Oryzias latipes: one gene and its partner. The protein of the gene in region 2 interacts with the protein of the main gene of each other region in a biochemical or structural test. Links are inferred from orthologs where the notes say so. Each region holds a gene or a part of one and is shown on either strand. Other genes may lie near its edges.

The links. The genes of interacting proteins can lie anywhere in the genome.
Region 1: the proteins of pex5 (region 2) and pex13 form a complex in vitro, tested with the Homo sapiens proteins (3 studies listed by BioGRID). The link is inferred for Oryzias latipes from reciprocal best matches to the Homo sapiens genes PEX5 and PEX13.

What each region holds. Positions count from the first base shown.
Region 1 is NC_019873.2:7,361,650-7,365,924, forward strand, and holds pex13 (peroxisome biogenesis factor 13), read left to right. Parts: upstream 1-1,475; 5' UTR 1,476-1,572; coding exon 1,573-1,646; intron 1,647-2,145; coding exon 2,146-2,870; intron 2,871-3,084; coding exon 3,085-3,207; intron 3,208-3,298; coding exon 3,299-3,645; 3' UTR 3,646-4,120; downstream 4,121-4,275. UniProt on the Homo sapiens protein: Component of the PEX13-PEX14 docking complex, a translocon channel that specifically mediates the import of peroxisomal cargo proteins bound to PEX5 receptor.
Region 2 is NC_019874.2:20,509,101-20,512,600, forward strand, and holds part of pex5 (peroxisomal biogenesis factor 5), read left to right. Parts: intron 1-469; coding exon 470-583; intron 584-919; coding exon 920-1,003; intron 1,004-1,294; coding exon 1,295-1,414; intron 1,415-1,595; coding exon 1,596-1,739; intron 1,740-1,968; coding exon 1,969-2,039; intron 2,040-2,250; coding exon 2,251-2,472; intron 2,473-2,592; coding exon 2,593-2,758; intron 2,759-2,856; coding exon 2,857-3,014; intron 3,015-3,206; coding exon 3,207-3,453; 3' UTR 3,454-3,500.

The DNA.
Region 1 (4,275 bases), on a different chromosome or scaffold from region 2:
TTATGTGCACATTTTTTCATGCATATCAGACAAGATAAAACATGTGAGTCTCACATTTGCTGCTGGCCGGTTGCTTCAAGGCTTACTCCTGATGTTTCTTCAGGTTATTGAGTCATGCAGCACAAACGATATTTTTATATATGATGTTTTACAGTCAGGAAGGGACTCTTGGTTTGCTTTGCTACCACTTTTCGATTGAGTGGTAACTCAAGTCCAAAACCAGGTCACAACAGAAAAAAGCTTTTACAAAGCTCTTGCAAAGCATCGCAGGCAATCCCACCAAACCACTTTGTATCAGGTATCTTCAGAACTCTGGCATCTTCTCACCAGATGACACTTAGGATTCCCACCTTAATCTAGCAAACCAAATACCATGATGCCACAGATGACGGAGTCGGCCTCACACGCCCACACTGTGGGGATGACACAGAGCTCGTCTCTGATAGAATGCGAATCGACAGCTCTGCACGCGCTCCCCCACATCTCCTGCCTTCACACTTGACATCACAGAGACTCCCTCTTGAAACCACAGCTCACTTTGCACACACTGAGGCTCTTCAGAGCAGCCTTTTTCACCACTCCCCATCTCAGCTAGGGTTGACTGACGTTGGTTAGTGGGGGGGCAAAGAACTGACATCAGATTTTCACTGTTCGTCCAATGAAATACATGCATGTAATAAAGATCTGGATGCAGTTTTAAGCTTTTGTGATCAATTTAAAGACATTAAACACTTGATATGTAAGCATCCCTTCATGGCAGTTAAAAAAAACATGAACAATATTGAAGTTACTTTTGTGGACTAAACATAAGTTTCATACTGAAACTCCTCTTTCAATTTGTTGTTTTTATTACTAAATAGATCAAATAAATATAATGAACATTTTGAATATTGTTTTAAATATATAAAAATGTATTAAAGTCATTACATCGTTCATAAATTATTTATTAATATACATTATTTTGAGGTTCAAAATTTATGAGAGAAGAGTAATTGATTTTGTCATTACCCATCACTTTTCTGTTGATTCTTTGCGCCCTCTGGTGGACAAAGGTAAAATGAGATTTTCGGTGGATTAAAATGATCAGACAGTACTAATCGAGTTGATTTCATCGATACGCCCATATTTTGAATAATTTAAATAATAAAAAGCAAAAATTGTTTTAAAAAAATCTCTATACAAATTGAATAACATAGTAAGATTCAGAAGTCCCGAAGTGTTTAGACCGGTTTGGATTGATTTGTGGTACGAATATCAACTAGTCTTGCCTGACTTGCTGTTTTCGATTGCTAAAGTGGTACCTTCAATATAAATTGGAAATTCCAAAACGATAAAAGTAAACTACCTAGTAAGCTAGTGTTTCATTTGTTGAAATAACCATTATTGATCAGCCAAAGTAAAACATGTTACATGAAAAGCCACAAAAAAGAGAATAGAAACATACAAAAATATTACAAATCAAATCCCTTAGAATAAAGAAAAAAACAAGGAGTTCAGGAAGGCAACACGGCAAGTCACAGGAGGACATCTGTCATCACAGATATTTTTTAGCTAACCATCACAAACTTCGCGATGGATTCACAGCCCCCACTCAAACCGTGGGAAAGGCGAATTCCTGGGGGTATGAGCGCACCTATAAACTACAGGTAAATGAGATTCAGGAAGTTATTTGTAGGGTTATTAGTTGTTGTTTCGAAGTTTTCCTAGGTAGCCTAATGCTAACGTTGCTAAAGGAGCTACTGCTAAACAATTACAGAACAGAACGAAACACCATATGAAACGCTGGTTAAAGCTATTACTGATTTATAATCAGGATAGTTGTATCTAAGGTACACTAGTTAATTTCAAATATGTTTAAAATTCGTCTAATTGTTTTTAGACTGTGTTTTTAGACTTGTTTTAGTACTTGTTGCTACTAGTTTGCATAGTAGCCAGGCCCCCGTAGTTGCCAGATATTTGTTGCATTGCCTTAATAAACGCAAAAGTTTTGCTATGAATTTTTTGAAAGATATTATCTTTCTGTTTGATTTTTTAATAGTAGCAGTTTTAAATCCATTAAGAACGAAAAAGCAGAAAGTCTTGTTATTTTGCTCAGATTTCTTGGTTGTCCTGCTGGTTTAGCTCCATCACTTTCTTTACACACAGATCGACAGACTTTGGACCAATTGCAGGCTCCTCCATTCCTGCTGGCCCTCCAGTTCTGACCAGAATGGCTCCTCCAGTGCCTGCTCGCCCGCTCCAGCAGTCATACCGCCCATCCTATTCCTCTTTCACCTCCTCTTACAGCCCCTATGGAAGCTCCATCTATGGGGGTTACAGCCCTTACAGCTATGGCGGCGGTTATGGCGGTGGCTTCGGTGGCAGCTATGGTCCGGGAGGGTACAGTCGTTTACCCCACACAGAAGAAATCGCCCCCAGCCGGTTTGTGCAGCAGGCAGAGGAGAGCAGCCGTGGAGCCTTCCAGTCCATTGAAAGCATCGTCCAGGCTTTTGCTTCGGTTAGCATGATGCTGGACGCCACCTTCTCCGCCGTGTACAACAGTTTTCGTGCCGTGCTGGACGTAGCCAATCACCTAACAAGGCTGCGTGCTCACCTCACTAGAGTTTTGTCAGCCTTCGCTCTGGTGCGCACGCTGCGGTATCTCTACCAGCGTTTGCTGCGGCTGCTGGGGAGGAGGTCAGATGTGGAGGACTTGTGGGCTGACAGCACAAGTGATGCTGTGGTGGCGGGTTCCTCCAGGGGATATGAGGCAGGAATGGATGAACAGAGCGTGAAGTCCTGGCCTATTTTCCTCTTTTTTGCTGTGGTTCTGGGTGGACCTTACCTCATCTGGAAGTTGTTGAGCTCCAGCCCCAGCTCTGATGAAAATAGTAAGGCTGGCATTGAATCCTTAATTTTATTGGTTTATTTTTCCGTTTGTTTGAAGAATTTACAACAGAAGATCATAAAAACACCAAACCAATGACCACAGTGTGGAGTTGTCGATTAAAGTATTATTCATTTAATAATACTATTCAATTATCTTGATGTAATCGTGTTTCTTCTACTTGATGTGCTCAATAGAAATGTTGTTGTTTTTTTCAGGTACAAACTGGGCCAGCGGGGAAGACGATCATGTCGTGGCTCGGGCTGAGTATGATTTCTCAGCAGCTTCTGAAGAAGAAATTCCTTTGCGGGCTGGAGACATGCTAAACCTGGCCCCTAAAGGTGAGACCTTCCTCAAATGTGTCGTGATTAATTAAAGTATTCCATAAAACTGCCTTTATTAACAATTGGTATATTTAAATTCTGGTTGCAGAGCAGCAACCGCGGGTGCGAGGCTGGTTGCTGGCCAGTGTGGATGGCCAGACAATTGGACTGGTCCCAGCTAACTATGTGAAAGTCCTTGGCAAGAGGAGAGGCCGCAAGCACGCGGAGATGGAACGGCTCGCTGAGGTCCAGGAGGAGAACCAGCGGGCCTCTCAAACACCAGCAGCTGCGCATGGTTCCACTTCAGATCTCTCCACAGCCTCCATGGCTCCCTCGACAGACCACCTACTAGAATCAGTATACAGAGAAATCCCAGCTGCCTTCGCTCTGGGAACATCCAACTCCAGCATGAGCTCTGACACAGTGTTGAATATCCCTGAAAAGACGGACCTGTGACGACTGTGTGTGCATGTGTTGCATTTACATCGTCTGTCAGTCAGTTCAAGTTTATCATTTCACTAATCAATTCTTCTGTAGGTCTTTGATTTCATTCATCAGCACAGTTTTCCTCTTAAAGTAAAATGGCTCAGAATCGTTTTTGTGTGAGATGATGTGTACTACATCGTCTTTGTGTTCTGTGAAGTCCAATTATGGGATGCATTGATGTATGTTAATGGGAAATGTAAAAGGGTTGTTGATGTCATGATATACATGTGAGGTTTCACCCTCAGGTGAAGCCGGGTGGACATCTGTAGGTTGTTGTTTTTTTTTGGATCAAGTGAAATTTGATTCACTCAGAAATAAGAAAGACTAGCTTTGCACATTTTAAAGTTTGTTAGTCCAATGTAATTTTGTAAATACTTAAAATAATTATTTTGAAAATAAATCTAATGGATTATTTTTTGCAGTATTAATCTGCAACCAAAAAAAAGCACGTCTTATTTTATTATTTGTGTCGAAAAATGTTGCGTGCGTGCGTGTGGAAATGACAGCTCTGTTTGATGTACGACAGAAATTTTGGATTTACGGTTTTCGTTTCCAGGCAACAGGACGCCCTTGGCTGCTGCAGTGCGACATCGGGGGCGA
Region 2 (3,500 bases):
ACAATGTGCTGTAAAAATGAAAAAACGTTTTTAAAAAATCAGCAAAACCCCAAAAGGTGAATCACATTATTATAGCATGGTACTGCAGGGTTTAGTGTCCAACTTTGTTTTTAGTGTCTGCTGGTTTCATTTATTCATTCATTATCTGCTGATTTGACAGGATAGACTATCTTCCTGCTGTTTAGCACGTCTTATTTGCTGAAATGTTGCCTTCTCAACCCAAAGAAAAATAGACTATCCCAGTTAGATTAAGTTTAATTCATAATCATGCAACATTGTCATGTGCTTTGCTCATTTCGGCTTGCCATCCCCTTTCATGTTTTACATTTGTCATGTAACATAGACAAAAAAAAAACCACACAACTCTGTTCCACCAACCACCCCCAAAAATTTTCCCTACCCACCGCTTCCTTACCCTCAAATCATTGCCCCATGTGCCTTCGCCAAACCCTTCCACCTCACGTCATAGTTCCTGGTGGAGACGGGGGGAGGAAGTCTTCCCTTGGAACGGCAGGAGATGAGTCAGAAGATTGAGAAAGTTAAAGCTAAACAAGCAGAGCAGTGGGCCAAAGTCATCAGGCAGGTAGGACCTTTGCAGTGGCGGCAGCACTAGGGATATAGGGGTAGTTGTGCCTGTTTTTTATTAGAGCTTTGCTTCTAGTATTTTTTGATAGATTTTTATCTGTCATTTAGACTCTTAGATAAGCCCAGCCGACATTCATTTAGCCTTTTCAGGCTTTTTTTTTTTAATAAGCAAGGAGTAGGAAAAAGGCTTTTTTCCCCTTTTGTCATTCCTGCTGCTTTTGCAATACTTGTGTTGTTATGTTTCTGCTTGAAGCATCCCAGATCTCCATTCTCATCAGATTTCTTAGCTAGTAGATTTCTGTCATCCGCTGCCAATGGTTTTATTGTTCTACAGGTTTCAGAGGAGTCGGCTGAAGCATGGGTAGATGAGTTCACAACAACAGGGCCGGATTTTCATCAAGCCAAAGCTGCAGTGGAGGTGAGCCAAACTTTTTTAAGTCCAAACCCAAAGCTTTTGTCCGATACTCAGGAGATTTAGCTCTTTTTGTTATAAATTTAGAGGAAGGAGGAGAAATCCAATCAAGAATTTTATCTTAATATGTCCTTATTAAAGCAAAATAATCCTGTTTTAGTTGAAGTTATTTCTTGACACGGTCGTTCAAGCCATCCACGCTTTTCTGTGGATAACAAAAGTCAAATAGTGTCTGCACTGTAGAGAAATGATTTGAACTGTGTGGGAAACTGTAAAATGGATGTGTCATTTTGTCAGAGTGATGTGGATTTCTGGGAGAAGCTGCAGCAGGAGTGGGAGGAGATGGCCAAGAGAGATGCAGAGAGCCATCCCTGGCTGTCTGACTTTGATCAGTTACTCAGCTCTTCTTATGACAAGGTAGCTGTCAACCTCCTCCATGCTCGAATCCTTTGAGAAATGGTGCTGATGTTGAAACCTTGTGTTGTATTACATTCTGCTGTAAGCCCGAGAGGTTCTTTTGTTTATAATTTGTCATTGGATTCATCATCATCAAAACATTTTGACCAGTTTGGTTGTGTTTTTTTTCTGTTTACTTTAGGGTTATCAATTTGAAGAAGACAATCCTTACCTGTCCCACCCAGACCCTTTGTCAGAGGGGGTTAAAAGGATGGAGGCAGGGGACATTCCTGGAGCCGTACGGTTCTTTGAAAGTGCGGTACAGAAGGAACCAGACAACCAGCTGGTGAGATTTCCTGTTTTTAGTTGCTAAACATTTATTTTTTTTCATTTTGTAATGGAAAGAGTCCACATTGAGTTTGTGGCATTTCTTTTTAACAGAAAGCAAAATATGGTTTTATTAAATTACCAATAGTAATTCTTTTTCTTTTAATATTTTTTTTTATTAACGAGGTTTATTCATTTAAAAGGTGAGTGTGAAATAAAGTGTATCTATTTTTACGTTTAAATTGCAGGCTTGGCAATATCTGGGTACCTGTCAAGCAGAAAACGAGCAAGAGTTTGCTGCCATCAGCGCCCTCCGCAGGTCAGAATGCAGAAGTGAAAAATCCAGCCTACAGGCTTAATGTTCAAAGCAGAAATCTGTCTCGCCAGGAAGTGCTGCAAGTTTAAGTGCAGTAAATAATATTTAGCTAAACCATTTTCTATAATTCTGTTTTAAGCAATAGGTAGGAAACAAAAATATATATTCTAATTTCTTTGAGTGACATTTTTCCTCCTCCCATTGTTATTTTTAGGTGTATAGATCTGAAAAAGGACAATTTGACAGCACTGATGGCGCTGGCTGTTAGCTTTACGAATGAGTCGCTGCACAGGCAGGCCTGTGAGACTCTTCGTGACTGGTTAAAGCACAATCCTAAATATCGCTCTGTGTGGGAGCAGCATGAGCATGAACGCCAAAAAGACGGTCCTGGAAACAGGGAGAAGGAGAGCGAGAGGTTCGGGTCCCTTTTGCCAGAGTGAGTGTGGTAGATGAGGAAATTTAAGCCTCTAAATATTTATGTATTTATCTTCTTTTTTTTTGCGTGGCAGTTTTAACTGAAATTTTTCCACTTTTTCTTATTGGTTATTTTACACAGGTCGCTATTTACTGATGTTCAGTCCATGTTCCTGCGTGCAGCCAATGCAGACCCCACCCAGGTGGACCCACAGCTGCAGTGTGGCTTAGGAGTCCTCTTTAACCTCAGTGGAGAATATGACAAAGCGGTGGACTGCTTTAGTGCTGCCCTCTCCGTCACTCCCCAGGTTAAAGCAAAGATCCTCTTCTGAGATATTCATAACGTACTGTGTGTGTGAATTTTTTTTTTATTCTGCTTTTTGCCTTTCTTTTTTTTTCCTGACAGGATTATCTGTTGTGGAATAAACTGGGAGCCACTTTAGCTAACGGAAGCCGATCAGAAGAGGCTGTGGCTGCTTACAGGAGAGCTCTGGAACTTCAGCCAGGTTTTGTCCGCAGTCGCTATAATTTGGGAATCAGCTGTGTTAACTTAGGTGCCCACAGGTGGGGAGCCTTTTAAATTTTGTAAAAAAAAAAATTAAAAAAAATCTTTTTGTTTTGTTTATAATACTAGTTAACCAAAACTAGTTTCAAGCAAACATATCAGAATAAACGTAGTTGCTCTTTGATAATAGTTGACTGAATGGGATTTAAATGTTGCACCATCTAAAATTTTTGTTATTTTTAACTTCGCAGAGAGGCTGTGGAGCACTTCCTGGAAGCTCTGTCTCTGCAGCGGCAGGCTGCGGGTGACGGTGTGAGAGCTCCGCAGGGCCCTGGAGGTATCACAGGAACAGTGATGTCTGACAACATCTGGTCAACCCTGCGCATGGCTCTCAGCATGATGGGCGAGAGCTCTCTGTACGCAGCAGCTGACCGGCGAGACTTGGATATGCTGCTGGCTCATTTCAGCCAGAGGGACGCTGATGGTGGGACGGAATGAGGACCAGTCAGGGGAGGGTTCATCAAGTGTGAATGTGCTTTGCTGGG